Saccharomyces cerevisiae S288C: one gene and its partners. The protein of the gene in region 1 interacts with the protein of each later gene in a pairwise test. Each region holds a gene or a part of one and is shown in the gene's direction. Other genes may lie near its edges.

Evidence for each region.
Region 2: the proteins of STD1 (region 1) and PSY2 interact in a two-hybrid assay, tested with the Saccharomyces cerevisiae proteins (2 studies listed by BioGRID).
Region 3: the proteins of STD1 (region 1) and RGT1 interact in a two-hybrid assay, tested with the Saccharomyces cerevisiae proteins (4 studies listed by BioGRID).
Region 4: the proteins of STD1 (region 1) and RTG2 interact in a two-hybrid assay, tested with the Saccharomyces cerevisiae proteins (one study listed by BioGRID).

What each region holds. Positions count from the first base shown.
Region 1 is NC_001147.6:415,847-423,277, reverse strand, and holds STD1 (Std1p), read left to right. Parts: upstream 1-5,596; coding exon 5,597-6,931; downstream 6,932-7,431. Other genes in the region: phospholipid-translocating ATPase RSB1, read left to right, coding at 1-610; ssRNA exonuclease RAT1, read left to right, coding at 1,628-4,648; ATP-dependent RNA helicase DBP5, read left to right, coding at 7,371-7,431.
Region 2 is NC_001146.8:260,116-269,158, reverse strand, and holds PSY2 (Psy2p), read left to right. Parts: upstream 1-5,955; coding exon 5,956-8,532; downstream 8,533-9,043. Other genes in the region: mRNA-binding protein WHI3, read left to right, coding at 1-1,551; GCR2 (Gcr2p), read left to right, coding at 2,629-4,233; NNR1 (NADHX epimerase), read left to right, coding at 4,706-5,446; SPS19 (2,4-dienoyl-CoA reductase (NADPH)), read right to left, coding at 8,703-9,043.
Region 3 is NC_001143.9:361,471-369,768, forward strand, and holds RGT1 (Rgt1p), read left to right. Parts: upstream 1-4,134; coding exon 4,135-7,647; downstream 7,648-8,298. Other genes in the region: NFU1 (Nfu1p), read right to left, coding at 1-358; PTM1 (Ptm1p), read left to right, coding at 1,152-2,723; AIM26 (Aim26p), read left to right, coding at 7,895-8,251. UniProt on the Saccharomyces cerevisiae protein: Glucose-responsive transcription factor that regulates expression of several glucose transporter (HXT) genes in response to glucose.
Region 4 is NC_001139.9:24,451-32,701, reverse strand, and holds RTG2 (Rtg2p), read left to right. Parts: upstream 1-5,217; coding exon 5,218-6,984; downstream 6,985-8,251. Other genes in the region: RMR1 (Rmr1p), read right to left, coding at 67-792; HFM1 (DNA helicase), read left to right, coding at 1,066-1,123, 1,276-4,781; HXK2 (hexokinase 2), read right to left, coding at 7,307-8,251. UniProt on the Saccharomyces cerevisiae protein: Required for a novel path of interorganelle communication between mitochondria, peroxisomes and the nucleus, thereby maintaining a functional metabolic interaction between the tricarboxylic acid and glyoxylate cycles.

The sequences.
Region 1 (7,431 bases):
AGTTGCATCGATGGCCATCTTTCTTATGTTATGGTTTCACTTCCTTTTCCGTATATATATATCGGTAAGATGGGAACACATAAATTCTAGACCTATCTCATTGAGCCTCTTAAAGATATCGCAAACAGAAGTTGATTATTTATACAGGGAAAAGTTCCATTTTTTGAGACTCGAACCTAAACGTTGGGTTTTTCATTATTTTAATCTGGCAATAACCGTTGCGGTACTAACCATTTTTACCCGTTGTTGTTACCGTTTGGCTGAATTAGTTGTCGGTTGGGATGGCTATCTGATCACACACGAGTGGTATTTTATTATCTTAGATGCATTAATGATGGCCATCGCTACGGTCACTTTGACCATCTTCCACCCTGGATTTGCGTTTAAAGGTAGAAGCACCTCGATTCCAATCACACCGGGCCATGTTGATCCTGAAACTTTACCACATACTGACGATGTTGAAGATATCTTAGATACTTCGGATTCAAAACAATTTGATATTGAAAAGGAGGAATTCCAAGCAAGCATGAAATACCCGATTAGCACCTTCAAACAATTCATGTCCAAAATAGCTAACTTGTTTTCCTCTAAAAAGAAGGCTAAACTTTAGTGATACGTAGAATTTGAATGTCAATCTGATCGTTCATATGCATTTTTCAATTCTTACTTTTTTTCTCGAAGTTCCCGACTATGTTCTGTTTATTTTTTCTCCTATTCAAAAGAACCGGACAGCATTTTTACTTCCTTATATTTCGACATCGTAATATGTACATTTTTTAGTTCACAAGTATTTTTCCCCTTTCAATGCTTTAATCAGCCTTCAACGTCATACATACTTTCTATTTTGTTCCTGTGCCATCGTATAACTTTCCTCGTTTAGTGTTTTCGCCTCAGCTTAATGTAGATCACTGTTTTGACGTTCTTCCATTTTTGGGAACGAACTAAACTAAAAAAAAGAAAACTACAGAGTTTCCCATAGAGAACAGAAAATCCGCTATCGGCAGCTTATAGGGTCATATAATTATGGCGCACATAAGGAAAATAAATTTATTTGAATCAATCAACAGACCTATCTGTTGATATATGAAAGAGAGCAGGAGCGTTAGTTTACCTCCATAAACAGTAAAATTAAAGCAAAAAAGCGTAACTGCTGATTGAAGCCTATATCACCGGGCTAAAATCTTATATCGGTTAAGAAAGTGATTAATTTATAGATATGTTCACGAAATCTTTTCTATTCAAAGATTCACGAATTTTACTCGATTTTTATAGTATACTGAAACAAGTAGTTGTAAAATCAATTCACCAAAAAAGCTTTCCCCATCTCTGATGAAAAACTACGAAAAGTTTACTATCACATAATATCGGAAGTACGTTTTTAAGGCACTGCAATGTATTTTATAATCTTGAACATTTGGAGGTATATTACCTTACTTTCTCATCAGGTTGTATATTTGAGCGTCTCGGGAATGATAAGTCGGGTAACGAGAGTATCTAGATAAGATTTTCAGCTATGGCAATAAAAAACCAAACCTCATCGATGAACCTATTACAACATAAAGACATCCCGTAATAATTAGTGAGACAGGTTCTTCAAGGAAGTGCTACAGCCAAGTTTCGTAATATAATGGGTGTTCCGTCATTTTTCAGATGGCTATCTCGAAAATATCCAAAGATCATATCCCCAGTATTGGAAGAGCAACCTCAGATAGTCGACGGTGTCATATTGCCGTTGGATTATTCCGCCTCAAATCCAAACGGTGAGTTAGACAACTTGTATTTGGATATGAATGGTATTGTTCATCCATGTTCGCACCCAGAAAACAAACCGCCTCCAGAGACTGAAGATGAAATGCTTTTGGCAGTTTTTGAATATACCAATCGTGTGTTAAATATGGCTAGACCACGCAAGGTACTTGTTATGGCTGTTGATGGTGTTGCTCCTCGTGCCAAAATGAACCAGCAGAGAGCGCGTAGATTTAGGAGTGCTAGGGATGCTCAGATTGAAAACGAAGCCAGGGAAGAAATTATGAGACAGCGAGAAGAAGTTGGTGAGATAATCGATGATGCCGTCAGGAACAAGAAAACTTGGGATTCAAATGCGATCACTCCAGGCACCCCATTTATGGATAAGCTTGCCGCGGCCCTCCGTTATTGGACAGCATTTAAACTGGCCACTGACCCTGGTTGGAAAAACCTGCAGGTGATTATCAGTGACGCCACCGTCCCAGGTGAAGGTGAGCACAAAATAATGAATTTCATTAGGTCTCAAAGAGCTGATCCTGAATATAATCCCAACACAACGCACTGTATATACGGTTTGGATGCTGATTTAATTTTTTTGGGCCTTGCCACTCATGAACCACATTTTAAAATTCTAAGAGAAGATGTTTTTGCTCAAGACAATCGGAAAAGAAATAACTTAAAAGATACTATAAATATGACTGAAGAAGAAAAACAATTTCTCCAAAAACAAAATTCCGAACAACCTTTCTTGTGGCTGCACATAAATGTTTTGAGGGAATACTTGTCCGCTGAGTTATGGGTTCCGGGTCTTCCATTTACATTTGATTTAGAAAGGGCTATCGACGATTGGGTTTTCATGTGCTTTTTCTGTGGTAATGACTTTTTACCACATTTACCATGCTTAGATGTCAGAGAAAATAGTATTGATATTCTCTTGGATATTTGGAAGGTAGTACTACCGAAATTGAAAACGTACATGACCTGCGACGGTGTCTTGAACCTCCCTTCTGTTGAAACGCTATTGCAACACCTTGGCTCCCGTGAGGGGGATATCTTCAAAACTAGACATATTCAAGAAGCCAGAAAGAAAGAAGCTTTTGAAAGAAGGAAAGCGCAGAAAAATATGTCAAAAGGTCAAGACAGGCATCCTACAGTAGCTACGGAGCAACTGCAAATGTATGACACACAAGGAAATTTAGCAAAAGGTTCATGGAACTTGACCACCAGTGATATGGTAAGGTTGAAAAAGGAACTGATGCTTGCGAACGAGGGGAACGAAGAAGCAATCGCCAAAGTTAAGCAACAGAGTGATAAGAACAATGAACTGATGAAAGATATCAGCAAGGAAGAAATTGATGATGCTGTTAGTAAGGCTAACAAAACTAATTTTAACCTTGCAGAAGTTATGAAACAGAAAATAATAAATAAGAAACACCGTCTTGAAAAGGATAATGAAGAGGAAGAAATTGCTAAGGATAGCAAAAAAGTTAAGACAGAGAAAGCGGAATCAGAGTGCGATCTCGATGCAGAGATCAAAGATGAGATTGTGGCTGACGTAAACGACAGGGAAAACTCTGAAACTACAGAAGTATCAAGAGATTCACCAGTCCACAGCACAGTGAATGTCAGCGAAGGTCCCAAAAATGGGGTCTTTGATACAGATGAATTTGTCAAACTATTCGAACCTGGTTACCACGAAAGATATTACACAGCTAAATTTCACGTTACTCCTCAAGATATTGAACAGTTAAGAAAAGATATGGTAAAATGCTATATCGAAGGGGTCGCCTGGGTACTAATGTATTACTATCAAGGTTGTGCCTCTTGGAATTGGTTCTATCCGTACCATTATGCTCCTCTGGCAACAGATTTCCATGGGTTTTCTCACTTGGAGATAAAGTTCGAAGAAGGTACTCCATTTTTACCTTACGAACAATTGATGAGTGTTTTACCAGCTGCATCTGGCCATGCTTTGCCAAAAATTTTCCGGTCTTTGATGTCTGAACCTGACTCTGAAATCATTGATTTTTATCCTGAAGAATTTCCCATAGATATGAATGGTAAGAAGATGTCCTGGCAAGGCATAGCGTTGCTACCATTCATCGATCAGGATAGACTGTTAACAGCTGTTCGTGCACAATATCCTTTACTTTCTGATGCTGAGAGGGCAAGAAATATTCGCGGAGAACCTGTTTTATTAATAAGTAACAAGAATGCTAATTATGAGAGGTTTTCGAAGAAATTATACTCAAAGGAAAACAACAACAACAATGTTGTTGTGAAGTTTCAACACTTCAAGAGTGGTTTAAGTGGTATTGTATCAAAGGACGTTGAAGGTTTCGAATTAAATGGGAAAATTGTATGTCCGATTCAAGGTGGGTCACTGCCAAATTTATCTACCACCTTGATTTTAAAGATGTCCTATAGATTAATTCCGTTGCCATCGAGAAATAAGTCTATTATACTGAACGGGTTCATTCCGTCAGAACCGGTACTAACAGCATATGACCTTGATTCCATAATGTACAAGTATAATAACCAAAATTACTCCCGTCGCTGGAACTTTGGTAATGATTTGAAGCAAAATATTGTTCCAGTAGGACCAAAGGGTATTACTCAGTACAAACCAAGAACTGGTGGCTATCGAGCATTCTTTTATTTTGCTGAGCTCAGTAGAAATAATGTCCAACCCGCCCACAACTATGGTAGGAATAGCTACAACAGTCAACCCGGCTTCAACAATAGCAGGTATGATGGTGGAAACAATAATTACAGACAAAATTCAAATTACAGGAACAATAACTATTCCGGAAATAGAAATAGTGGACAGTACAGCGGCAACAGCTACTCTCGGAATAACAAGCAAAGTCGGTATGACAATTCAAGAGCAAATAGGCGTTAGAACTACTCGTGCGCATTTTATTTTATGGTAAATTTAGGTTTTCGCAAATTTATAAAATCTTCATACAATTAAAAAAAAGCTCTTTTAAGATAATAGTGTCTGCTCTTACAAACGACGAACAGTAATATTTTATAACAAAAAATGGAACATATTAAGTTAAGAGAAAATCATGCTGAAGCATGAATATATGAATATACGTCCTCTTGTAAAATAGCGAAATCCTTGTAAGCCAATAGACCGAACTCTATTTTGATTTATACGCTTCGTGTATTTTTTCTTCCAGATCCAGGAGAAAAAGCATGGTCTGTTCTTCTTTTTTGAAAAGAGAGGCAGTCCACGGCGAAAGTTTCGAATACGGCACTACCTTTTTTTTCTAAGTTCCTAAACTTAAAATCAAATTTGGTCTTTGGTCTGTTATCATCCAGGGATGAATGCAACATATTGGGAAGTTCATGCTATACAACGCCAACCCCTTCGCTCAAGTCACGAAAGCACATCTTACACTTCCTCCTTGGCCAATATGCAAGCGTCCTCTTCAAAAAATCTTGCAACAAACAATCGGGTAATGTGGGATGTTGTGGAAAAATGAAATAAAGTTTTCAATAAATCCGACTGAGCTAAGCAGGAAAATTTTCGTACGCGGGTTTTTGTCCAATTTTTTCCCTTCCTTTTGAAAACACGGAAAATCTTTTAGCGAAGGCTGCTCTTAGTTCCATAACGGAAAAATTCCAGGAGTTATTAAAAGACAGAGTTATAGTTTAGTAAATTTTCTTTTGAGTTAACGAGAGAGGGACGTTTTCGAACTAAATAGAGGAGAAGAAAGGCTTCAAGAAATATCGTACCGTAGGAAACCAGTTTAATATATTAGAAGCTCTCATTTACCTATCATTTTCGTTACCATCGCGATTGTAGGAGGTTTTGCACTACTTAACAGACAAATAAAACGAGATGTTTGTTTCACCACCTCCAGCAACAGCGAGGAACCAAGTATTAGGGAAAAGAAAATCGAAAAGACATGACGAAAATCCAAAGAATGTTCAACCCAACGCTGACACAGAAATGACAAATAGCGTTCCTTCTATTGGATTCAACAGCAATCTTCCACATAATAACCAAGAAATAAACACACCAAATCACTATAATTTGAGTTCCAATTCAGGAAATGTTAGGAGCAACAACAATTTTGTTACTACACCACCAGAATATGCAGACAGGGCAAGAATAGAAATCATAAAAAGGTTATTGCCTACTGCAGGAACTAAACCTATGGAAGTGAACAGTAATACTGCAGAAAATGCAAATATCCAACACATAAATACCCCGGACAGTCAAAGTTTTGTTTCAGACCATTCATCTTCATACGAATCGAGTATATTTTCACAGCCATCTACTGCTCTTACGGACATCACCACAGGCAGCTCGTTAATTGATACAAAAACACCTAAGTTCGTCACAGAAGTAACACTTGAAGACGCTTTACCCAAAACATTCTATGATATGTATTCTCCCGAAGTTCTGATGTCTGATCCAGCAAATATACTTTATAACGGACGTCCTAAGTTTACAAAGCGCGAATTGCTGGACTGGGATCTAAACGATATACGATCCTTGTTAATTGTGGAACAATTAAGGCCAGAATGGGGTTCCCAGTTACCGACGGTAGTGACCTCCGGTATAAACTTACCGCAATTCAGACTACAATTACTTCCCCTAAGTTCCAGTGATGAGTTTATAATAGCGACATTGGTTAACTCAGACTTATACATAGAAGCAAATCTAGACCGCAATTTTAAGTTGACAAGCGCAAAATATACAGTTGCATCAGCAAGAAAAAGACATGAAGAAATGACTGGGTCAAAGGAACCCATTATGCGTCTATCAAAGCCTGAATGGAGAAATATAATTGAGAACTATTTATTAAATGTTGCCGTCGAGGCCCAATGCAGATATGACTTTAAACAAAAGCGCTCCGAATACAAGAGATGGAAATTACTAAATTCAAATTTGAAAAGGCCTGACATGCCGCCTCCAAGCCTCATACCGCATGGTTTTAAAATACATGACTGCACTAACTCTGGTAGTCTTTTAAAAAAGGCTTTAATGAAAAATTTGCAACTAAAAAATTATAAAAATGATGCTAAGACATTAGGTGCTGGTACACAGAAAAATGTCGTTAATAAGGTTTCTCTAACTTCAGAGGAGAGGGCTGCCATCTGGTTTCAATGCCAAACACAGGTTTATCAAAGGTTGGGGTTAGATTGGAAGCCTGATGGAATGTCCTAGTAAATTTTTACAACAACGCAAAAACGAAATACCCCACTATTTAACCACTTAACGACATTAATATTAATTACAAAAGTGTTTGATACACGTACTATTATAGATTTCGACGACCTTTAAGATTAAGTAATACCTTTAATAATTTTAATATATTTTAAGCCTACTGCTCTAAAATTGCCCAAAAAAAAAACCCAAAAAAATCAACATTTAAATATGATGATACTCCCATATATATCGTATTTAAAGAATAACTCTGCTGTTGTCTTGATTATTTGATTGTTACATTATTATCAACGCGGTATTACCCGTATGCAAATTTTTCAATCAAGCAAAGCATTGCAAAATTTGCATTACCTTTAAAACCAGTTGACCTTTATACACCATAAAATACTCGATCAGCAACCAAGAACATCTATAAAAATACTTACCACCTTAGATCGGAATGAGTGATACAAAGAGAGATCCGGCCGATTTACTAGCTTCTTTAAAGATTGATAATGAGA
Region 2 (9,043 bases), on another chromosome or scaffold:
TCATTAGAAGACGAGAATGATATTTTTATCATTGCCAGATTTGAGTTATTGAATCTAGCTATTAATTATGCCGTTATTTTGAATTCGAAAAATGAACTCTTTGGACCCAGTTTTCCCAATAAAACAACCGTTGAAATAATAGATGACACAACAAAAAACTTGGTTTCATTCCCATCATCTGCCATTTTCAATGACACCTCAAGATTGAATAAATCGAACTCGGGAATGAAAAGGCCAAGTCTGTTATCACAAAGATCCAGGTTTTCATTCAGCGATCCATTTTCCAATGATTCTCCTTTAAGCCAACAGCAATCTCAACAGCAGCAGCAACAGCCACAACAGCCACAACAACACTCTACGCAAAAACATTCACCACAACAATGTAATCAACAACAAGTGAATTCTTCAATACCGTTATCTTCTCAAGGCCAGGTTATTGGGTTACATTCTAACCATTCACATCAAGATTTGTCTGTGGAATCAACAATTCAAACATCTGATATTGGCAAATCTTTCCTTTTGAGAGATAACACTGAAATTAATGAAAAGATATGGGGCACAAGCGGTATACCTTCCAGCATCAACGGTTACATGAGCACTCCCCAACCTTCTACGCCAACTTTAGAATGGGGAAATACTTCTGCATCCCAACATGGTTCTTCGTTCTTTTTACCCTCTGCAGCATCGACAGCCATTGCACCTACGAATAGCAACACCAGTGCCAATGCAAACGCCAGCTCCAACAATGGAGCCAGCAATAATGGTGCTAACCAGGCACTCTCTGCCAGCTCGCAACAACCAATGATGCAAATTGGTAACACGATTAACACTTCCCTAACCTCTTCAAATTCATTGCCTCCATACGGTTTAATGTCTTCTCAATCGCAGCACATTTCAAATATGGTAAACACCTCTGATATGAACATTACACCTCAAAAACAGAACAGATTTATGCAACAACCCCAACCAGAGCATATGTATCCTGTGAATCAAAGTAACACTCCTCAAAAAGTACCGCCCGCAAGATTAAGTTCAAGTAGAAATTCACACAAGAATAACTCTACTACCTCATTATCCTCAAATATTACTGGATCTGCCTCGATTTCTCAGGCTGATTTGTCACTACTAGCCAGAATTCCACCTCCTGCCAACCCTGCTGATCAAAATCCACCTTGTAATACCCTTTATGTAGGGAATTTACCCTCCGACGCTACTGAGCAAGAACTAAGACAGCTATTTTCTGGTCAAGAAGGCTTCAGAAGACTATCATTCAGGAATAAGAATACCACATCTAATGGTCATAGTCACGGACCGATGTGCTTCGTTGAATTCGATGATGTCAGTTTTGCAACCAGAGCGTTAGCTGAATTGTATGGTAGACAGTTACCTCGCTCCACTGTGAGCAGTAAGGGAGGTATCAGATTAAGCTTTTCAAAAAACCCACTGGGTGTTAGGGGCCCAAACAGCAGAAGAGGAGGCAGTGGTAACCCAAATCCTAATGTAAATATGCTTTCCAGTTACAATTCTAATGTTGGTCATATAAAAAACTAAAAAAATGGTTCCGCAAAAACCTGATTTCCTTGCATGTATCACATTATATGCATTGCTTTTCATCTTTCCCCCACTATAATAAGAATAATATTTTCTGTCGCATTTTTTCTTTTTCTTTTATTATTTGTTATAATAATATTTTCTAAACCGACTAATAATAAGAATAACATCGATAATACTTTATCTCTTCAATTACGTTAAATTATCTTTTTACTATTACATTACAACGTGCATATAACAGAAATTTTTTCTTTTTCTGTCTAACATTTGAATTGTACTATGAATTAAACCCGCCATCTTTTTTCTTAACTACCATTTTGCGAACTCCTATACCGCTTCTGCAACAACAAGAACTTTTATTTTCAATTTTAATGTGCCATTCATTCCATTTTGCTTGCGCTAATGTGAATAAGATTGAGAGGGAAAAGTCTCACTATCGAATATCGCTCTTTAGTGTGATTATTGTCATCAAAGCACCAAGTGCTTAGGTGAGGTCATATCCGACAAATGTTTTGAAGAGAGAATATCTTTTTTTTATGCTGCCAACTTTTATTCTTTCCTTGTTTAAAAAACTCTGCCTTTGGATATTCTCCCACTATATATATGTATTAGCCTTACTTTTATTCCAGAACTCATTTTTATAGAAGTATATATCGGTATCGACTTCAATGTAATATTTTCAACCCTATGCTACAAGAGCAGATTAAAAAAATATGGGCTACCAGTGGCAAGAACATATTTGATATTTCGAAGTTCTACTTTGTTTATGACCGAACTGATCAATTTTATGAATGTCTTTCAATGGAATCTCAATACGGGTAATAACGTCATATTTCTTATTTTTCTTGGACAATTTGTCCAAAATAAAATTTTCACGACTTTTCTCCTTCAAGTACCGCGACTTCTGCGATAGTTGTCCGTTAGACATAATAATCATTAACGCATCCATAAGGTGCTTGCGGTCTGTATTTGACTTTCTTCACATTCTTACGCCTAGACTGAATGGGAAAACAACCAAGAAACCAAAAAGGAACCTGAGAACACAAAGAGTATTTGACGAAAAGTTACACTCACATAATGCATCACCAAACTAAGTTAGATGTATTCATAATCAGAGCTTATAATTTACTGTCTAACGAGTCTGTCATTAGTGGTGCTTCCTTGCAGAGTGTTACAAACTCGCCACAGACGACAACGAACACGCCCTCAGGTATGGTTAACGGGGCGGTTGGAACAGGGATAGCTAATCCAACAGGGTTGATGGGGTCTGATAGCACACCTAACATCGATGAGATTATAACTAGCACTGGTAGTAATGCTCTGACGAAAACCAACTCAGATAGCGCTAATGGTACGCCGAATGGTAATTCAAGTTCTACCTCAGCCATTAGCAATGCAAGCAATCCTGCCACTACTGGTAATAATGCGAGCTCTAGTGCCACCTCAAATGGAATATATACGCAAGCGCAATATTCTCAACTTTTCGCCAAAATATCAAAACTATATAACGCTACACTATCATCTGGGTCAATTGACGATAGATCAACATCACCAAAATCGGCAATCGAACTATATCAAAGATTTCAACAGATGATTAAGGAACTAGAGCTGAGTTTTGACGCAAGTCCTTACGCAAAATACTTCCGCCGGTTGGATGGAAGGCTTTGGCAAATAAAGACAGACTCAGAATTAGAAAACGATGAATTGTGGCGATTAGTCTCAATGAGCATATTTACAGTATTCGATCCTCAGACCGGCCAAATTCTAACTCAAGGACGCAGGAAGGGAAACTCCTTAAATACATCAACTAAAGGCTCCCCATCAGATTTACAGGGAATAAACAACGGGAACAATAATGGGAACAATGGTAATATTGGAAATGGGAGTAATATTAAGAACTATGGAAATAAAAACATGCCAAACAACCGAACGAAAAAAAGAGGCACCAGGGTGGCTAAAAATGCTAAAAATGGGAAAAACAATAAAAATAGTAATAAAGAGAGAAACGGCATTACAGATACGAGTGCATTCAGTAATACAACAATAAGCAACCCAGGTACCAATATGCTTTTTGATCCATCATTGTCTCAACAGTTACAAAAACGACTGCAAACGCTATCACAAGATGTCAATTCTCGTTCGTTGACAGGATATTATACACAGCCAACCAGTCCTGGCTCAGGAGGATTTGAATTTGGTTTGAGTCATGCAGATCTGAACCCCAATGCTTCCAGTAATACCATGGGCTATAATACAATGTCCAATAATGGATCCCATTCGTGGAAACGAAGGTCACTGGGATCGTTAGATGTTAATACGCTGGATGACGAAGCGGTGGAAGAACTTTTGCAACTGACAAATACGAGTAAGAGGCAGAGGCCGATGACAACTGCAGCAGAGGGTGCGTTAATAAATGATGGTCCGGACACTAATTTAAACGCGAATAACACCCAAATGAAAGTTGATTTAAATCCTTCAAACAGCATGGGACCTATAGATACAGAAGCCGTGATACGCCCATTGAAAGAAGCTTATGACGCAATCATTTCTGAAAAAGGCCAAAGAATTGTGCAATTAGAAAGAGAATTGGAATTACAGCGCCAAGAGACGCAGTGGTTAAGGAAAATGTTAATTGAAGACATGGGTTGTGTTAGAAGTATGTTAAGGGATTTACAAAGATGACACGATAATAATGTTTAACATATATTGCTTTCTCTTTTAATTTTCTGGTGTAGATTGGCGGTATAATTAACTATTTAACAGTGACGTTTACTATCTTACTGTTTCTTGTACTCTTTTATAATGAACAGACGTTATTATATAACTACGAACTAATGATAATTCTTTTTACGTTATTCCTGATGTAAAGGATACAAAATGGGTTTCTTTATTTTGCAGCAGAACCGTAAAATTTACGCTACTTTTACCGTGGGTCCTCTTATTTGATTGTTTCCGTCGCTACGAGCGAACAAGGGGTGGAGACAATAGGGATGGTGAATATATACACATACGTTCATATATAAGAAAAAAACTCAAGAAGAATATCAAACGACCAGGATCCTTGCTTATATTATTGTCTGTTGCTGGGCCAACACATATTTTCATTTCAACACACCAATCTCAGGTATTAAAGAGAAATCATTGTAAGGTAAAAATGTCTACGTTGAAAGTTGTTTCATCAAAGCTTGCAGCTGAAATCGACAAAGAATTGATGGGTCCTCAAATCGGATTCACTCTACAACAGCTAATGGAGTTAGCTGGGTTTAGTGTCGCGCAGGCTGTATGTCGCCAGTTTCCACTGAGAGGCAAGACAGAAACGGAAAAGGGCAAACATGTATTTGTTATTGCTGGGCCAGGTAACAATGGCGGGGATGGTCTCGTGTGCGCAAGACATTTGAAGCTTTTTGGTTACAACCCTGTTGTTTTCTACCCCAAGAGAAGCGAGCGCACTGAATTCTACAAACAGCTGGTTCACCAATTGAATTTTTTCAAAGTTCCTGTCCTGTCTCAAGATGAGGGAAACTGGCTGGAATATTTGAAGCCGGAAAAGACCTTATGCATTGTAGATGCAATATTTGGTTTTAGTTTCAAGCCTCCCATGAGAGAGCCATTCAAGGGCATTGTCGAAGAACTGTGCAAAGTGCAAAACATTATCCCGATTGTTTCGGTGGACGTCCCCACAGGTTGGGACGTTGACAAAGGTCCGATCTCTCAGCCCTCAATTAATCCTGCTGTTCTTGTATCTCTGACTGTCCCCAAGCCATGCAGCTCTCACATAAGGGAGAATCAAACAACTCATTACGTGGGGGGAAGATTCATTCCTCGAGATTTCGCCAATAAATTCGGCTTTGAGCCATTTGGATATGAATCCACAGACCAAATATTGAAACTCTGATAGCCCAAATCTATAATGCCACTACCATACATAATTTTTATATAATCCCTTATTTTGTGAACAAATAGCCATCATGATTCTCTTTTAAGATGATAAAACCGTCGTTTCTTTTTCTGACGCGCCATCTTTTCTTTTTCTATCTGTCTTTTTTTTTTTTCCTTTGGTGTTTCATCCGAAGAAGAAACAAAAGAAAGAAGACCAATACTTTCTAAAGGGCAATTGCAAGGTAGATATAACTAGAATTGCACAATAGAGATTGCTTGCATCAGTGGCATAGTTAACAATATTTTCTCGGCCTCCTTTGACGTAAAATCTAAAAGACCTAGTGCTTTCAAAACCCGCGCATACTGAAAAAAAAAAAAATAAAGAAGAGTGTACTGAACTGGTACTATAATTCATCGAAACTCATTTATTCCATATTAAACCGGTAGAAAACAGTATTTTTTTTGGTCTGTGTTTGAAACAGAAATTCTAACTGAAAAGTTTAGGATTTACGTATAGTAAGAGTAATGTCATTACCGGGTACACCTACTACATCTCCGACCCCGATGGATGAGGATACTGAACAAGCCGTTTCGGTTAATACTGAACCCAAAAGAGTAAAGGTTTACATTTTAGAGAACAACGAATGGAAAGACACAGGTACAGGGTTTTGTATAGGGGAGGTGGACGAAGGTAAGTTCGCATATCTTGTTGTCTCAGATGAAGACTCCCCAACTGAAACTTTACTAAAATCCAAACTAGAAGGAAATATTGAATATCAACGGCAGGAGGAAACGCTTATTGTTTGGAAGGATTTAGGGGGGAAAGATATAGCCTTGAGTTTTGAAGAAAGTATGGGATGTGACACCTTATGTGAATTCATTGTTCACGTCCAAAGGAACATAGAGTCAAATATTTCTTTAGTCACCGTAAAATCCAGCGACAACGGACTCGGGTCTGTTCACGACATTATAACGGGCCCTGTGACCTTGCCCTCCAACGACCAGCAACAGAATAGTCAAACTTTACTAGAAGCTCTAAAGATTTTGAATGAAAATACTTCTTTCGATTTTTTGAAAAACGAAACCATTGAGTTTATCCTCCAGTCAAATTACATTGATACACTGATTTCTCATTTCCACAAAGCAGAAGAAGAAAAGATACCGAAGGATTTATTTTTGCTAAGTAACATCATCAAAACTTTGATACTTTACAATAAAAGAGACATATTGGAGTCAATGGTGGAGGACGATAGGATTATGGGAATAGTTGGGATTTTAGAATACGATACTGAATACCCTACATCAAAGGCAAATCATAGGAAATATTTAGGATCAAAAGGTCCCAATTTCAAAGAGGTTATTCCATTGGAAAATGAGGACTTAAAAATAATAATGAAAAAATGTTTTCGCTTACAGTTCTTAAAAGACGTGGTATTAGTACGATTTTTAGACGATCATAATTTCAACTTAATCTCGGAAATTGTCATGGACCTGGAAACGTGTATAATCGACTTTCTTCAAGTAGGGACGTTTTTGGACAGACTAATAGAGCTTTATGATACCAAAACCCTTCCAGAAAGCTCTTCAGAGAAGGAGAAGTTTGTACAAAAACGAAAAGACGGGATTAGATTGTTGCAACAGTGTGTTCAAATGTCAATCAATTTAGATGCGGTTGACCGTTCTAAGTTCTATAAAACACTTGTTCGAAAGGGTCTATTCAAAGTTTTAGATTATGCATTTCACATGGAGACGGATAGTAATGTTAGGATTTTAGCTACGGATACTATCATTACTATAATCGAACACGATATCTTGTTAATTCACAACGTTCAGAATGAAGATTCTTTCAAACGGCAACATAAATCAGCGCCCGATGACAAGTCTTCCCATCGGAAATATCCGCAGGATTACAGCTCCAGTACTGATTCCAAGTTGTTATTGATACTTTCAACCATTCTTCTGTCCGACAGGAGTCCCGGATTGCGAGAACAAGTTGTGCAAGCGCTAAATACTTTGCTTCACCCTGAAGGATGTGTGGGTAATGGAGAAGGTTCATATGATCTTATGGGCAGATCAAATTATGAAGCTAAGAACACATCTGAAGATTTCCCAAGTTTCAGTTATGGTTTAAACTCGGATTCAATCAATTTAAATAACTATCACTATAGCAGCGATGAAATGAATAATCTAGAGCCAGAATCTGAATCTGAATTTCAAGTAATGGAATATTTTGCAAATTTCTATAATAAAATCGCACCCATACTGTTTGGTCCATTAATCAAGAAGGATATCACAACGGAAATGGCAGAAATAGATGGGCAAATAGAAAAGGTTACAAAAGACGATCTTTTGTTAATTCATTTAGTGAAATTGGTATCATTTGTTTGCACTGAGCATGATCGTGTCTTATCCAGAAGATTCATATTAGAAAACGGTATACTAGATTCTGTTAGCAAACTTATCGGCGGTAATCATATGATGCAGCTAAGGTTAACAGCAGTAAGATGCATTAAAAACCTTATGTGTCTCGATGATAAATACTATCATCGATATATGATTTCAAAAAATTTATATGCGCCGGTTTTTAAACTCTTCCAGGAGAACATAGATAAGAATAATCTTGCAAATTCATGCATTCAAGATTTTTTCCGCATTATTATAACAGAATGTAGAGCTTATCAAAGTGATGGCCATAACAGAAAGGAAAAAACCAATGGTTCTTATGATGGCAACGGTAATGACGTCAAAACGAACGTGAACAACAATAGGACAAACTTTACCATTTTAAACAAATACTTAGTTCAAACATATGGTGATGTCTTGAGAAAAGCTACTGATATCCCTTTCATCCAGGATATGCTAGAAACCGGGGAAGAAAACCAACCCGATCATTCTAGCTTTGAAAATAGCATTGAAGGGGGGAATGACATTTCTGTAAATATGTCAACAGATGGATTTGCTTCGAATCATTTAGAAGATATTGACATTAAAAACGTCAAAAGATTACATTCTGAGATTGAACACTTTGAAAATGACCCCCATTATTCTGGTGATCAGTTAGCATTTAAAAAAAGCGTTGACCAAATGAATGCAAGTACTTGAGTTTTTCCTTGTTGGAAAGAAGAATAAAAAGCTAGCACAACGGTCATGGTTGTAAGAAGTTTAACAACGATAGTGCACTCATTGTATATAAAATTCATCAATATACAATTAACTATCAAAAAGCATACGAGAAAGTGTCATATAATAATAGTACTCAATACCTATACGTATTATAATTTAGATGTCATACTCTTTATTAAGGCTTCTGGATACAACTCATGTCCAAAATAGGTCCCTAAATGCCACATACCACCGTCAACAACTAAGACGGTACCGGTGACATACGATGCGGCGGGTGAAAAAATATAAACAGTAGATTCGGCTATATCCCGTGTAGATCCAAGCCTTTGTAATGGTATCTTTGCCAAGGCCTTTTCCTTATATTTTTTGCCGGCTAATCTCTTCAAGCCTTCCGTATTATCGATAGCACCTGGAGCAATGCAATTCGAACGTATACCCAGAGGCCCCAACTCAACCGCTAAATTCTTTGCCAATGCGTCTATTCCCGCTT
Region 3 (8,298 bases), on another chromosome or scaffold:
CATCTTCACCGTAAGCAAGTTGCTTGGTTAACAAATCTATAATTTCAGGCTTGATACTATTCCAATGGACCATTCTGTCTTTATTAATAGTGAGAAAATCATCACCTATCATTAAAGACTCCACTCCTGGACACTGCAAAAAAATTTGCTGTGCTAACTTGGAATGGTTGATGAGGTTTTCATCAGTGTTCTTAATAACTATACTCTTGGAGCCACGCGTCTGTAGCATCTCGCCATCTGTGGAGAGAAATTTTAAAGCATTTTCATTTGGAGTTGTTAAAGTCTTAATATGAATTAATCTCTGAGAATTTAAGTAAAAAATCGGAGACTTCCCCAATTTAGCCACTGATTTGAACATTGTTAGTCAATTTCTTGCTTTTTTGCTTAGATTACGCTGAGAATGCCTTATGTATTCTAATTAGTCCGCTAAATACGCTTCTTTTTATAATGATTAATAAGCAATATTGTAAGTAGATCACTGAAATTCGGAAAACTTAAATTATTTATCACTTGATACGTTAGAAGGCTATTTCTACAATCACCAGGACTCCGCTAAGTGGTCCTATAGATTTGATGAAATGCCTGCTTTGACGGTCTTGATGATACAAGCTAACGCTTAGCATGTTACTATACTCAATGTACATTGTTTTATCCTCAAGAGACCGCAGACGTTTCAATTTTGTGTTTAAAAGAACAATGGACAGTATATACGTAGTGCCAATTTTCTTCTATGGTGTATTATGCGCATTGAACATTGTAATATCCGTAATGTTGAACATAATTTGGGAATTGCTTCCGAATCTTCAACCTTCATGTATACCTCTTTTCGGCTAGAGTGTGGTACTTTAATTACTGCTTAGTTGTTTTGCCCGATTTAGATATTGCACCCGTGCACGTCACACATAAGCTTGGTCTTTTAAATAGTGTGTGAAAAAACGAACTTGAAGAAAAAGATAGAGCAAGATATATATAGGAGTAGGAATAGGGAGAGTGGAAAAAAAAACTTAGCCTCAAACTAATAGTCAAGAGGATCAACTATTCTGTTCAGGTTTTGCAGGTTAAAAATTGAAATAGAATATTTTCTCGGTAATTTCAAGAAACAGCTGGTAAAAAGGCAGTAAATTTACAGAAACTAAGAGTGTAAGGGCACAATGAGAGTATATCAGTTTTGCCGACCTTTCCAATTATTCACCTGCTTCTTATGCTACCTTCTAGTGTTCGTAAAAGCTAACAAGGAAAAGATAAGTCAAAAGAATTATCAAGTATGCGCAGGTATGTATTCCAAAGAAGATTGGAAGGGCAAAATAGACCCGTTTATATCATTCAATCTTAAAAAAATAAGTGGATTGAGTGATGAGTCTGATCCAGGCTTAGTCGTTGCAATCTATGATTTCCAAGACTTTGAGCACTTAGGTGTGCAATTGCCGGATGAAGAAATGTATTATATTTGTGATGATTATGCAATTGATATCGGGATTTGTGAAGAGGAGAATCGTGATGAGTTTATTGTTCAAGATGTTGTATATGATCCATATACTTCCACAAATAGATCTTTGGCCAATCCAATCATGACGTTTTCTCAAAATGAGGTCGGCCTTCATGATACTAGATACCCAATAAAAGAAACCGGATTTTATTGTGTTACTGCGTTCAGATCATCGACGTCTACCAAGTTCAACGCTGTGGTGAATTTCAGGAATGCTTATGGTCAGCTTGCGGGCACCGAGATCAACAAATTGCCACTATATGGTCTTTTGGCGGTCGCATACGTTGTGGCGATGGCGTTATATTCCTTCGCCTTCTGGAAGCACAAGCATGAATTGTTACCATTACAAAAGTATTTGCTGGCCTTTTTTGTATTTTTAACCGCAGAAACCATATTTGTATGGGCTTACTATGATTTGAAAAATGAAAAAGGTGATACTGCGGGAATAAAAGTTTATATGGTGTTCTTGTCGATATTGACGGCTGGTAAAGTTACATTTTCATTTTTCCTATTATTGATTATCGCTTTGGGCTACGGTATCGTGTACCCTAAGTTGAATAAAACGTTGATGAGGCGTTGCCAAATGTATGGTGCGTTAACTTATGCAATTTGCATTGGATTTTTGATCCAAAGTTATTTGACCGACATGGAGGCACCATCTCCACTAATCTTGATCACCTTGATTCCTATGGCGCTTGCATTAATCATATTTTACTACATGATTATTAGATCCATGACAAAAACAGTTATCTATTTGAAAGAGCAAAGGCAGATCGTAAAATTGAACATGTACAAGAAGCTACTATACATCATTTATGCGTCCTTTTTGAGTGTACTAGCTGGTAGTATAGTTTCGTCATTTATTTACGTTGGCATGAACACTATTGATATGATTGAGAAGAACTGGAGGTCAAGGTTCTTCGTTACTGATTTCTGGCCTACGTTAGTGTATTTCATTGTTTTCGTTACCATCGCGTTCTTATGGAGACCAACAGATACTTCATACATGCTAGCCGCATCCCAACAACTACCCACAGACCCAGAAAATGTCGCGGACTTTGACTTGGGCGATTTGCAATCGTTTGACGATCAAGATGACGCAAGTATCATCACTGGTGAGCGTGGCATAGACGAGGATGACCTCAATTTGAATTTTACTGATGATGAAGAAGGACACGATAATGTAAATAACCATAGCCAAGGCCACGGGCCAGTGTCTCCCTCTCCAACAAAATAACGCTACCTCCAGCAGATTTGATTAGGTGATGAGACAAATAGTTTCTTCGAGGGCAGTCACGAAATGTTTACAAGCGAAAAGAAAGAAATTATGAACCATATGCACTTCTGTTCAATGCGATGTGAATATGAATATGAATATAAATATGAATATAAATAAATAAATAAATAAATGCGTTGCACGTTTCTTTTCATTTATTTGTGCGTGCTTTTACCTGTTTATAACTGTAGTCACCAAAGCTATGCTATACTCTAGACCTAACTTTTTCGTTTTGTATTTATTTAGCCGCTCGCTGGAGTTTTTTTTTTTTCGGTGATAAGATGATTTATATCAAACCGAAACAAGCGAAAAGTTTCTGTTCATCGACTATAAAATGGAAGAGAAAATTGGTCCATAGACTTTTCATGTGTACTTGTTTATGAGAAGAGACGCAGGAAGACCAGAAGTGAGGAATTCCCTTTGTTCAAGGATGAACAACGAAGCCAGATAACGTAAGGTTGCGCGCTGCATCAGTGCTAACCTTATTAGCTTTCTCTGGCTTTTTCGGTCTTTCCTATGTAACATAACATGTATATTCTATTTGTTTATGATGAGACCACGTCCTTAGTGACAATGCTATAAACCCAGCTCTTCGATTCGTTTTTAATGAAAGGGAGAAGATTTTTTTGTCAAACGCTCTGAGTAATAGAATATACATGCGACAACATTTGTAGTTACTTGTCTTACGCTTCCTAGGGAACGGATCATCCGAGTAGAATATCATTTTACGGGATCACTTTATTCGGTGTGATTGCTCGTTAAGCCGCACGACCATTTTATGGGCACGCTTCCGCAAGTTGGTTCTTTCATCAGAAGCTTTACCACGATTGGCAAGTCATGTAGCATGTGCGCTAACATCGTTTATCGTTTTCTGTGACGTGGCTTATGAGCACCAGAGACGAATAATCAACAGTACATCAAACAAAAGCTACGTCACCTCACCAATAATCCGAGCTTCTTGAAATGGCAGGTATTGGATTCATAAAATATGTCGCTGCTTTGTGCATTTTCCTTTAGTTTTTTCCTTTTTTTTCATGTAGCTAACTAAGCAAGACGATTATGGGAAGGGACCTTTTAAGGAAAAACAGGAAAAAAAAATAGTAGCAACTAGTAAAAATTCAAAAAATAAAAAAAGTCAAAATAAGAACACATCAGTTAGGAACCGTGCTTGGAGTTTTGAGACTGGAGTATTGTCCATCCAACATATTCTGCTCTTTCACCATAGACTTCGTTGGAAATCGCCTCTCCCTTGTACTATATTGTGCAGAACCGTTCCCGCAATTTTCATTGGTGCAATAATAACACGCTTCTTCGATTCTCACATTTGTCAAGAAGCTGTACTCTTCTCTCAAACTCCAATATATTTCAAATTATGAACGAGCTGAACACTGTTTCGACTAACTCCAGTGACTCCACCAAGAACGGTGGTACATCCAATAGTCCCGACGATATGGACTCCGCAGCAGCAGCAAGTCACGCAATAAAGAAAAGAACAAAGGCCTCCCGGGCCTGCGATCAGTGTCGTAAAAAGAAGATTAAATGTGACTACAAAGATGAAAAGGGGGTCTGCTCAAACTGCCAAAGGAATGGAGACCGTTGTAGTTTTGATAGGGTTCCTTTGAAAAGGGGACCCTCGAAAGGCTATACGAGGAGCACCAGCCATCCAAGGACTAACGAAATACAAGACCACAATAACTCAAGGTCGTATAATACGTTTGATAATAGTAACAATACCCTGAATAATAATACGGGCAATAGCGGCGACAACGGTATAAACAGTAACACAGTTCCAAGTACCCCTTCGAGATCTAATTCAGTTTTATTGCCCCCACTGACACAGTACATTCCCCAGGCTGGTGGCATTCCTCCTAGTTTCCAAAATCCAGCGATACAATCAACTATGCCCGCGGGTAATATTGGCCAACAGCAGTTTTGGAAAGTGCCCTACCATGAGTTTCAACACCAAAGAAAAGGATCTATCGATTCTTTGCAAAGTGATATATCGGTAAGAACATTAAATCCCAACGAGCAGTTGTCTTATAACACCGTTCAACAGTCTCCCATAACGAATAAACATACTAATGATTCTGGAAATGCAAACGGAAGTGTCACCGGCTCAGGCAGTGCCTCTGGTAGTGGTGGTTATTGGTCCTTTATAAGAACTTCTGGTTTACTAGCTCCTACTGATGATCATAATGGGGAACAGACAAGAAGATCAAGTTCCATACCTTCTTTGCTACGAAATACTTCAAATTCTCTTTTACTAGGTGGCCAGCCTCAGCTTCCCCCACCTCAGCAACAATCGCAGCCACAAGCACACCAACAAAAGTTGCAACAAGGACAGAACCTATACTCGTATTCTCAATTTTCCCAGCAGCAACCGTACAACCCATCGATATCATCTTTTGGCCAGTTCGCTGCTAATGGTTTTCATTCTAGACAAGGATCAGTCGCCAGCGAGGCTATGTCTCCCAGTGCACCTGCCATGTTTACTAGCACATCTACAAACCCCGTAAATGTTGCACAGCAAACACAAAGACCTCAAGGACAGCAGGTACCGCAATTTTCATCTGAGTTGGATGGAAATAAAAGGCGACAATCAGCCCCCGTATCAGTAACATTATCCACGGACAGGCTGAATGGTAATGAGAATAATAATGGTGAAATTAACAACAATAATGGCAGCAATAATAGCGGTTCTTCTAAGGATACATCTCAACATTCCCAAGAATCTGTAACTACACCAGCGGCTTTGGAAGCATCCAGCCCTGGATCAACGCCACAGAGAAGTACAAAAAAACGCAGAAAAAGTTACGTATCTAAGAAGACAAAACCAAAGAGAGATTCATCTATATCTATAACATCGAAAGATTCTGCTCACCCAATGACCACTTCATCAACTATCGCGTATGGACAGATATCCGATGTAGATCTAATAGACACCTACTATGAGTTCATACATGTAGGATTTCCGATCATACCTTTAAACAAAACGACCTTGACCAGTGACTTATTGTTAGTTAACACACAGCCAATTTCCAATATACACGAAGTCAATTCATATGTTATTTTGTGGTTTAGAAATTCATTGGAATTGTTAGTTCGTGTTGCTCTGAAACAAAAGCCAGGTGGCAAGTTTTTCGATAATATTGTTGGCGTGGCTTTGTCGCCAAGTAATGACAACAACAAAGCTGGGTTCACTACAGCCACGGCAAGGGATGATGCTGAAAAAACAAGACGTGATTCACATAATGAAGTACAGGATACTTTGGAAGTGCAAAGCGTTTTTATTGCCGCCCTCAATGAATGTTTCCAAAAAATCGTGGATATTCATCCCAAATTCAGAGAAAACAACGACCAAATTTCGCCGAAGATCAAAGTCATTTATTTATCTACTTTTATTCTTTTAAATTACATTTTGGCATTTGTTGGATACGATAACTCATTTGTACTTGGAATGTCGGTGACAATTTTTAACGAATTTAAATTATACAAACTTCTATTATTTCCGGAGCCGGATATAAATGATGTGAAGCCTCCAGTTGATGAAGAGGTCAGCACTGGTAATGGGAATACAAAAACGTCCGAATTTGAAATTGGATCTGAAAGTGCTGGGCATATGAATCCATCCAATTCACCAAATTCCATGGACGAAAACATTAGTCACTATTCAGTGTTGTTTAAAAGATTATACGTTTTGCTTTCAGTGTTTGATTCTTTACAAAGCTGTGCATTCGGTGGTCCCAAGCTATTAAACATTTCCATCCAAGGTTCTACAGAAAGATTTTTTTCTAATGATTTGGGCTCAAAATGGTGCCTGGAACAAAGCCAATTGAGACTGAAAAGCGTCTTGCAAAGCTTGAAATTGGGTGAATTGATGAGTGAGCTTACCAGGAATAGAATATCAATGAACGGCAATAGGAAGCCTGGGTTCGATATTACGAACTCGTCTTCACTCTTATCGGAATATGTGGAAACTCAACCTCTATCCGTAGCACAGTTATTTTGCAAGCTATTAATTGGCAAACACAATTTCATCAATTGCTTATTATCATTATACGATTCAGAAGCAGGAGTCTATTCAGATTTGACATTGGATTTGAGTTCGAAAATAGCAGACTCTCTGTGCTCATTGATATCAATAATTTTGCAAGTATTGACGTTGATATTAAGACTGAATCCTACGAACAGTATTGATTTTAATTATAGACCACCGAACCCACCCGCTAATAATCCGACAGTGCAAGAGGGCCCATCTGCTATGGGCTCGTCTCCAGTCGCTGGGAACCTTAGCGCTGCACCTCCATCGGAGGGGAATCCAGATTTTTACAAGAAATTACTAGGCCTGAAACAAGACACTGGCACTATCCTTTCAGACCTTTGCCGGGGGATAATTTCCCCCTTTGCTATTGCTATCCTGCACGAGGTCTACAACATCACTGAACTGGTCAAGCAGATGCCTACATCACTCATTAGCATTATGATGACGGCAACTACAACGCAGAATACTCAGGACACCAAGAAGTCGCAGGACCTGGTCATGAAGCTGTCAAACTCGATGAATGAAGTAGTTCAAATCACCAGCGTGCTGACAATGATCAAGCCATTCAAGATCTTCGAGCACGAGCTTAATAAGCCCATAATGTCCCTGACAGGAGGACTTTCGTCCACGACCAGAAACGACGTCATGTGGCCAAAGTCGGGCCAAGGCCTCCGCGAGTCATCAGTCATGAAGACATTGCTTGATGAACGCCGTACTTCTGGTACACAACCGACAACGGCGCCAGTAGCCGCAGAGGAACCCAGGCTTGAGAACGTTGCCCTGGAAAATTTCGTTAGTATCGGCTGGAAGCTGTTGGACGATTCCGAGTTAGGCTGGTATTGACAGGTAACTATGCTCCCTTCTCCTGTAGGTCAGGTTCTCCCTTCTCCTCAGGCAGAAATTCGCGTAAAGAACTACCATGCAATGAATGACCAATTTAAGTAAAACACATAAATAATACTTACTTACACATATACACACTAGCTGTTTTAACCTGTAACAATACTGCCTTGTCAGAGTGCGCACGGCCTTTTACTCTGGTGCTCCACCATCTTCCACGGTATTCGAGAGTCGCCAAGCTCAGGGGCGCATGCAGACAATGGGCGGGGAGCACCTTCTTCTTTCACAGCTAAAGGGGTCTTTCTTTCTCCTACTTTTGGCATACTTTTTCAGGGGCAGAAGTCCTTATTACGCACGTTGCTACCGCCGGCTTGCTGTTACACCTGGTGCCATCACTATTGCCATTGCCATTGCTACAGATTCAATTCCGGCGCTTGCAAAGTCCAAAGTTCTGGTGTCGGTTTGTTCTCACACAGATCCCTGTACAGCGTCTTGTAACCTGATCCCCTTCCCCCGCCCCTTCTCGAACAGCCTGACGCGCTTCCTCTTTTGTTTGGGCTCGGCCCGTTTTTGCATTTCCTTTCCCTGTTTTGGATTGAGTATATAAATCTAAACAAACAACAAAGTTCTTCCAGCAGGTACCATGAGATTGAA
Region 4 (8,251 bases), on another chromosome or scaffold:
GAAATCAGAAACTCACCGTTGGACATCAGGATTTCCCACGATCAGTGCTGATTAAACATGGCTACTTTAGTCTTCAGAATCCTCACCTACGTCATCATCTATGTCCATTACAATGACTTCTGAAGTATTCTGGTGTGTATATTGGTCATTGTCATCCACAATTAAGGGATGCGTTTCATCGTTAGAAAATGGCTTTATGTTTTTCAACGTAGCTGAGCTTTCAGTTAATTCAACCAAGGCGTTGTACCGAGAGACAAATCTTGGCCTTGTACTTAATTCAATAGCCAAGTGCGTCGGTATATCAGTTTCAAAATTAGACTCCGATCTTTCCTTCAGGATTTTAAATATAGTATAAACATCGCTGAATGAAATATGGTTGTTGTAGACATTATCTTCGAACAAGGTCAAATCGAGGCTTTTCAGTTGTAAAACCAACTCCTTCGTAGCAAAAGCCAACCTGCCAAAACGATTTCCCATAAATTTACGAATGGATTCCATGAATTCCCCCATGGGTCGCTGATAAAGAGCAGCGTTTTCACATATTATGGGGTTGTTACTTTCGTTCTTATCATCCGACGTGAACAACAGAAATGTAGTATCTTTATATTCCACGGTGACTTTGGGCAATTCGCTTTTCATTAAAGTCTCTGCCACGTTGCGTATACGGGCGTCCGATGGTTGTTCCTCCACGAGTTCATCATCATACTCCAAAAGGTCTTCTTCATCGCCCTCATCCAATTGAACCCCGACGTCATCCACCTCCACTGTTTTATGCGCTTCTTCTTCACTCATCTTTGATTCCATTGATACCAACAAAAACAATCTTTAACTACGTATCTTTTCCTTTACGTATATATAATTAATCATATATACTTCCCTTTTTTATGCCTTGTTGTAGTTTTAACATATCATGTACCACGAATGGATGCAGGCTCGGCGGGTATTTAGACTTTGCCCCGGATTATAAACAAAACGGGACTATTAGTATCATCTATCAAGAAATCCTTTCATTGAAAATGATTGATACCTCAAGGTGGATTTGACAACTTAAGAGGCGTCGTAAGGATGAAAACAAAGTTTGATCGCCTCGGTACAGGAAAAAGAAGTAGACCCTCTCCAAATAGTAGTAACGAAGCTTAGCAACACCCTTATCAGTTTACACCATATCGGACAACAACAGTATTTTGACTAACATTGTTACCTCTTTCTTTTATTATCTAGCGGAAATGCAACCAAAAGTGGTTTTTCTGGACTAGAATTTCAGAGGACTTATAGATATTGACTTTAACGACCAGTCTGCTACATTTAAAAGAAATAAGAAAAATAGCCGCCAACCAAGTTTTAAAGTAGGTTTGTCTTATAACAGTTTACTGGATGATTGTGATGATGAAAATGAAACAGAGGAAATATTTGAGGGCCGTGGTCTGCAATTCTTCGACAAAGACGATAATTTTTCAATAACAGCAGATGATACACAAGTAACTAGTAAATTATTTGATCACGATTTAGAGCAGACACCTGATGAAGAGGCGAAGAAACCTAAGAAGGTCACGATAAGGAAATCAGCGAAGAAATGTTTGAGCACGACCATATTACCAGATTCATTCAGAGGGGTTTTTAAATTTACAGAATTTAATAAAATGCAATCAGAGGCTTTTCCTAGTATTTATGAGAGTAACGAGAACTGCATAATTTCTTCACCAACCGGATCAGGCAAGACTGTATTATTTGAATTGGCAATATTACGTCTTATAAAGGAAACAAATAGTGATACCAATAACACCAAAATTATATACATCGCGCCAACCAAATCTCTATGTTACGAGATGTACAAGAACTGGTTTCCTTCCTTTGTGAATCTTTCTGTTGGTATGCTTACTAGTGATACCTCTTTTCTGGAAACTGAAAAGGCTAAAAAATGTAACATAATAATTACGACACCAGAAAAATGGGATTTGTTAACAAGAAGATGGTCCGATTACAGCCGATTATTCGAATTGGTCAAACTTGTCCTAGTTGATGAGATTCATACCATAAAGGAGAAAAGAGGAGCATCTTTGGAAGTAATTCTGACAAGGATGAATACAATGTGTCAAAACATTCGGTTTGTTGCTTTAAGTGCAACAGTTCCAAATATAGAAGACCTAGCATTGTGGCTCAAAACTAACAACGAGCTTCCTGCAAATATTCTTTCTTTTGACGAATCGTACAGGCAAGTTCAGTTAACGAAGTTTGTTTATGGGTACTCCTTCAATTGCAAAAATGACTTCCAAAAAGATGCTATATATAATTCCAAATTGATTGAAATAATTGAAAAGCATGCCGATAATCGTCCCGTACTAATATTTTGTCCGACTAGGGCTTCAACTATATCAACAGCAAAATTTTTATTAAATAATCATATTTTTTCAAAAAGTAAGAAAAGATGTAATCATAATCCCTCCGATAAAATATTAAATGAATGTATGCAACAAGGTATCGCTTTCCATCATGCTGGAATTTCTTTAGAAGACCGTACTGCCGTTGAGAAAGAATTTCTTGCAGGTTCAATTAATATATTGTGTTCAACTTCAACGTTAGCTGTTGGTGTGAACCTTCCCGCATATTTGGTCATTATCAAAGGCACCAAAAGTTGGAACTCTTCTGAAATCCAAGAGTATTCAGACCTAGATGTACTGCAAATGATTGGGCGGGCAGGAAGACCTCAATTTGAAACTCACGGGTGCGCAGTAATCATGACAGACTCTAAAATGAAGCAAACATATGAAAACTTAATTCATGGAACTGACGTTTTGGAAAGTTCATTACATTTGAATTTGATCGAGCATTTAGCAGCAGAAACCTCTTTGGAAACTGTATATTCAATTGAAACTGCAGTAAATTGGCTACGAAACACATTCTTTTACGTTAGATTTGGGAAGAATCCAGCTGCATATCAAGAGGTGAACAGATACGTTAGTTTTCATTCCGTTGAAGACTCTCAGATAAATCAATTCTGTCAGTATTTGCTTGACACCTTAGTAAAAGTGAAAATAATCGATATCAGCAATGGGGAGTACAAATCTACAGCGTACGGAAATGCAATGACGCGACATTATATATCCTTTGAGTCGATGAAACAATTCATTAACGCAAAAAAATTTCTATCATTACAAGGGATACTAAATTTACTGGCCACTTCTGAAGAGTTTTCAGTTATGAGGGTGAGGCACAATGAAAAAAAATTGTTCAAAGAAATCAATTTATCGCCACTTTTGAAATATCCATTTTTAACCGAGAAGAAACAGAGCCAAATAATTGACAGGGTTAGTCAAAAGGTTTCTCTTTTGATTCAATATGAGTTAGGTGGGTTAGAATTTCCATCATACGAAGGCGCTTCTAAACTACATCAAACTCTTGTTCAGGATAAATTCCTCGTTTTTAGACATTGTTTTAGATTACTAAAATGCATGGTAGACACATTTATTGAAAAAAGTGATGGAACATCACTGAAAAATACTTTGTTCTTACTGCGAAGCCTGAATGGTCACTGCTGGGAAAACACGCCAATGGTTCTTAGGCAATTGAAAACAATTGGACTAGTTTCAGTAAGAAGGCTAATACGACATGGAATTACCAATCTAGAAGAAATGGGGCATTTGTCAGATACTCAGATTGAATACTATCTTAACCTCAAGATTGGAAACGGCATAAAAATTAAAAACGACATTTCTTTGTTGCCTTGTCTGAATATTAGAACAAAACTAGAAAATTGCAAAATAGAAAATGAAGAGTTGTGGTTGACATTTAAAGTTGAGATTAGTGCAACATTCAAGTCTAGCATTTGGCATGGTCAGCACCTCTCATTAGATATCGAAACCGAGAAAAGCTCAGGAGAGTTAATCGACTTTAGAAGATTGCAAGTTAACAAACTACAGTCACCAAGGGGCTTTAGAATTTCAGCAAAAATATCACCAAAACTAGAAAAAATAGAATTCTCAATTCATTGCCAAGAAATCGCCGGACTCGGCAAAACAATCGTATATTCCACTGATCATTTGGCATCACAGTTCTCTGCGAAGACACCAAATATAAGGAAAGATCTAAATAGTTTAGAAAAATGCCTCTTCTATGAAAGCAGTAGTGACGGAGAAGTGGGGAAAACGTCTAGGGTTTCCCATAAAGATGGATTAGAAGAATCGCTATCCTCAGATGATAGTATACTAGATTATTTGAATGAAAGGAAGAAATCATCAAAGGCGGTTGAATCTGCAGCAGTTATTCACCCGGAGGCACACTCTTCTTCACATTTTAGTAATGGCCGCCAAGTAAGATCTAATGGCAATTACGAGTGTTTTCATAGCTGCAAAGACAAAACGCAATGCAGACATTTATGTTGTAAAGAGGGTATTCCAGTAAAGTATATAAAAGAAAAAGGACCCTCCTCAATCAAGCCAGTATCAAAACCTGATCAAATACGCCAGCCACTGCTTGCAAAAAATATCAACACAACCCCTCACCTGGAAAAAAGACTGAATAGTAAACCAAAGCAGTGGCAAGAAGAAAATACAGATATTGCGACAGTTCATACACTTCCTTCAAAAATTTATAATCTATCGCAACAGATGTCGTCTATGGAAGCGGGTGAACAAGTCCTAAAATCAGGCCCCGAAAACTGCCCTGAAATAATTCCTATTGATCTTGAATCATCCGATAGTTATTCTAGTAATACAGCGGCGAGCTCAATAAGTGATCCGAATGGTGATCTGGATTTCTTGGGTTCCGATATAGAGTTTGAATGAGCGGCATGGCCGGGAACAATAGACATTACTGATATTCATTACCCCAATCCTTTCTGTTATTTGTATTGCTTCCCAACAGAAGTTAGCATGTGTGAGAGTTTACTTATAATGCTTTGTTTTTAAAATGCAGCCAGTGGTGAAACAATTGGAACCTTTACTATTTATTAGGGAACAAGATGACATTGTCAATTGATATATTACTATTGTTACATATCGTGCTATTTATCATTTCAATTATTAGTCACATGACCGCGATAAGCGATCCGGGTCAGAATGCCGAGATAGGATAACTTTGCCGGCGGAGTTCCTAGATCAATTGAAAGAATCGAAGTGAGATTAGTAATTCATTCATATGTACCTTTTAAAAAAGAAACTCACTCTTGGAAGTGTCCTTTACTAAGGATTGTTTTGAACGAAAAGTGTAGGCGTGCCACAAATGTCAACACTTAGCGATAGTGATACCGAGACTGAGGTCGTGTCGAGAAACTTGTGTGGAATCGTCGACATAGGTTCTAATGGTATTCGTTTTAGTATATCTTCCAAGGCTGCACATCATGCAAGAATTATGCCTTGTGTTTTTAAAGATAGGGTTGGTCTTTCTCTATACGAAGTTCAATATAATACACATACGAACGCAAAATGCCCTATTCCCAGAGATATTATAAAAGAGGTTTGTTCTGCCATGAAGAGATTCAAATTAATTTGCGATGATTTTGGTGTACCTGAAACTAGTGTCAGAGTAATTGCAACAGAAGCCACGCGAGATGCTATTAACGCGGATGAATTTGTTAATGCTGTTTACGGTAGCACTGGCTGGAAAGTAGAAATATTAGGCCAGGAAGATGAAACTAGGGTCGGCATATATGGTGTTGTTTCCTCATTTAATACAGTAAGAGGTCTATATCTAGATGTGGCAGGTGGTAGTACTCAGTTATCATGGGTAATAAGCTCGCACGGAGAAGTCAAGCAATCCAGCAAACCTGTATCTTTGCCATATGGAGCTGGAACTCTTTTGAGAAGAATGAGAACAGATGATAATAGGGCACTTTTTTATGAGATTAAAGAAGCGTACAAAGATGCGATTGAAAAAATTGGTATACCTCAAGAAATGATTGATGACGCCAAGAAAGAAGGTGGATTTGACCTTTGGACCCGTGGGGGTGGTTTAAGAGGTATGGGACATCTGCTTCTTTACCAGTCGGAAGGTTATCCCATCCAAACAATAATTAACGGATATGCTTGCACTTATGAAGAATTCTCGTCTATGTCAGATTATCTATTCCTAAAACAAAAAATACCAGGTTCTTCAAAAGAGCATAAAATATTTAAGGTTTCTGATAGAAGGGCTTTACAACTTCCTGCCGTTGGTTTGTTCATGAGTGCTGTTTTTGAAGCGATTCCCCAGATCAAAGCTGTACATTTTAGTGAGGGTGGTGTTCGAGAGGGTTCACTTTATTCTCTTCTTCCAAAAGAAATTCGTGCACAAGATCCATTGCTAATTGCGTCCCGTCCTTATGCTCCATTACTTACTGAAAAATATCTATATCTATTGAGAACATCAATCCCACAAGAAGATATACCAGAAATAGTAAACGAAAGGATTGCTCCTGCTTTATGTAACTTAGCATTTGTTCATGCCTCTTATCCAAAGGAGTTACAACCAACAGCTGCATTACATGTTGCTACAAGAGGGATAATAGCCGGCTGTCATGGATTATCTCACAGAGCTAGAGCGCTGATAGGAATTGCTCTATGTAGTAGATGGGGCGGCAACATTCCGGAATCTGAAGAAAAATACTCCCAAGAATTAGAACAAGTAGTTCTACGCGAAGGTGATAAAGCTGAAGCATTGAGAATTGTATGGTGGACGAAGTATATTGGTACGATTATGTATGTGATTTGCGGTGTTCATCCAGGTGGTAATATCAGAGATAACGTATTTGATTTCCATGTTTCTAAGCGTAGTGAGGTGGAGACCAGTTTAAAAGAATTAATCATTGATGATGCAAACACTACAAAGGTAAAAGAAGAATCCACGCGTAAAAATCGCGGGTATGAAGTGGTTGTGAGAATTAGTAAGGACGATCTTAAAACAAGTGCTTCCGTTCGTTCCAGAATTATCACGCTACAAAAGAAAGTACGCAAGCTATCTAGAGGAAGTGTAGAGAGGGTTAAAATTGGCGTGCAATTTTATGAAGAATAAAGACATCTAGTCTTTAAATACTTGAACAATAAATACGAAATCCTTATATAAGCATCTTTTACTACCAAAAAAATTTAAAATTAAGCAAGAGAAAAAAACGAGCAATTGTTAAAAGAAACTAAAATCATGTAGATTTCATAAATCGTCATATTCTTTGTCTATATAAATATTTATCGTCACGAATAAATCCCGTGAATTTCTAACAAAGTTTATACAATATCACAGTTGTAAAAGTAAGAAAAAAAAAGATCATAGAAAACATGTTCACATAAGTAGAAAAAGGGCACCTTCTTGTTGTTCAAACTTAATTTACAAATTAAGTTTAAGCACCGATGATACCAACGGACTTACCTTCAGCAATTCTTTTTTGGGCCAAAGCAGCAATAACAGCGGCACCAGCACCGGAACCATCTTCAGCAGGAACAATCTTGATTGGGTAGTCGTCTAGTGAGGTTTGAGTCCAGCCGTAAATGTCCTTCAAAGCATTGGCAGCCTTTTCTTTGAAACCTGGGTATCTGTTGTAAACGGAACCGTCTGCAGCGATGTGACCGGTCTTGTAACCTCTCTTTTGACAGATAGCAGCAATACCACAAACGGACAATCTAGCAGCTCTAGCACCAATCAATTCAGATAAACGTCTGATCAATTTACGTTCTTGAACAGTAGTGTTGATACCGAACTCATTTTGGAACAAGTCATCGGTATCTTCTAGGTTCTCGAATGGATCTTCCTCGATTCTGGCTGGGTAAGAAGTGTCCATGACGAAAGGCTTGTCGAACTTAGACAAGTCTTGGTTCTTGAAGATGAAACCTTGTTTGTACATGTCCATCAAGGCCAAACGCAAAATTTCACCTAAGTAGTAACCAGAAGACATTTTTTCAAAGGTTTGTTGGCCTGGTCTTGGAGATTCTTCATCAATGGTGATATCGTATTTAGTTCTTGGCAAAACGACATGTTCATTATCGAAGGAACCGTATTCACAGTTGATGGCCATTGGAGCAGATGGTGGAATGTCATCAGATAGTTTTCCTTGTAGCTTTTCGATATCGGAACAAACATCGTAGTAAGCACCATTGACACCAGTACCGAAGATAACACCCATCTTAGTTTCTGGGTCAGTGTAGTAAGAAGCAACCAAAGTACCGGTAGTGTCGTTTATCAAAGCAACAACTTCAATTGGGATATTCCTCTTAGTGATTTGCTTTTGCAACATTGGAACAACATCGTGGTTTTCAATGTTTGGAATATCAAAACCTTTAGTCCATCT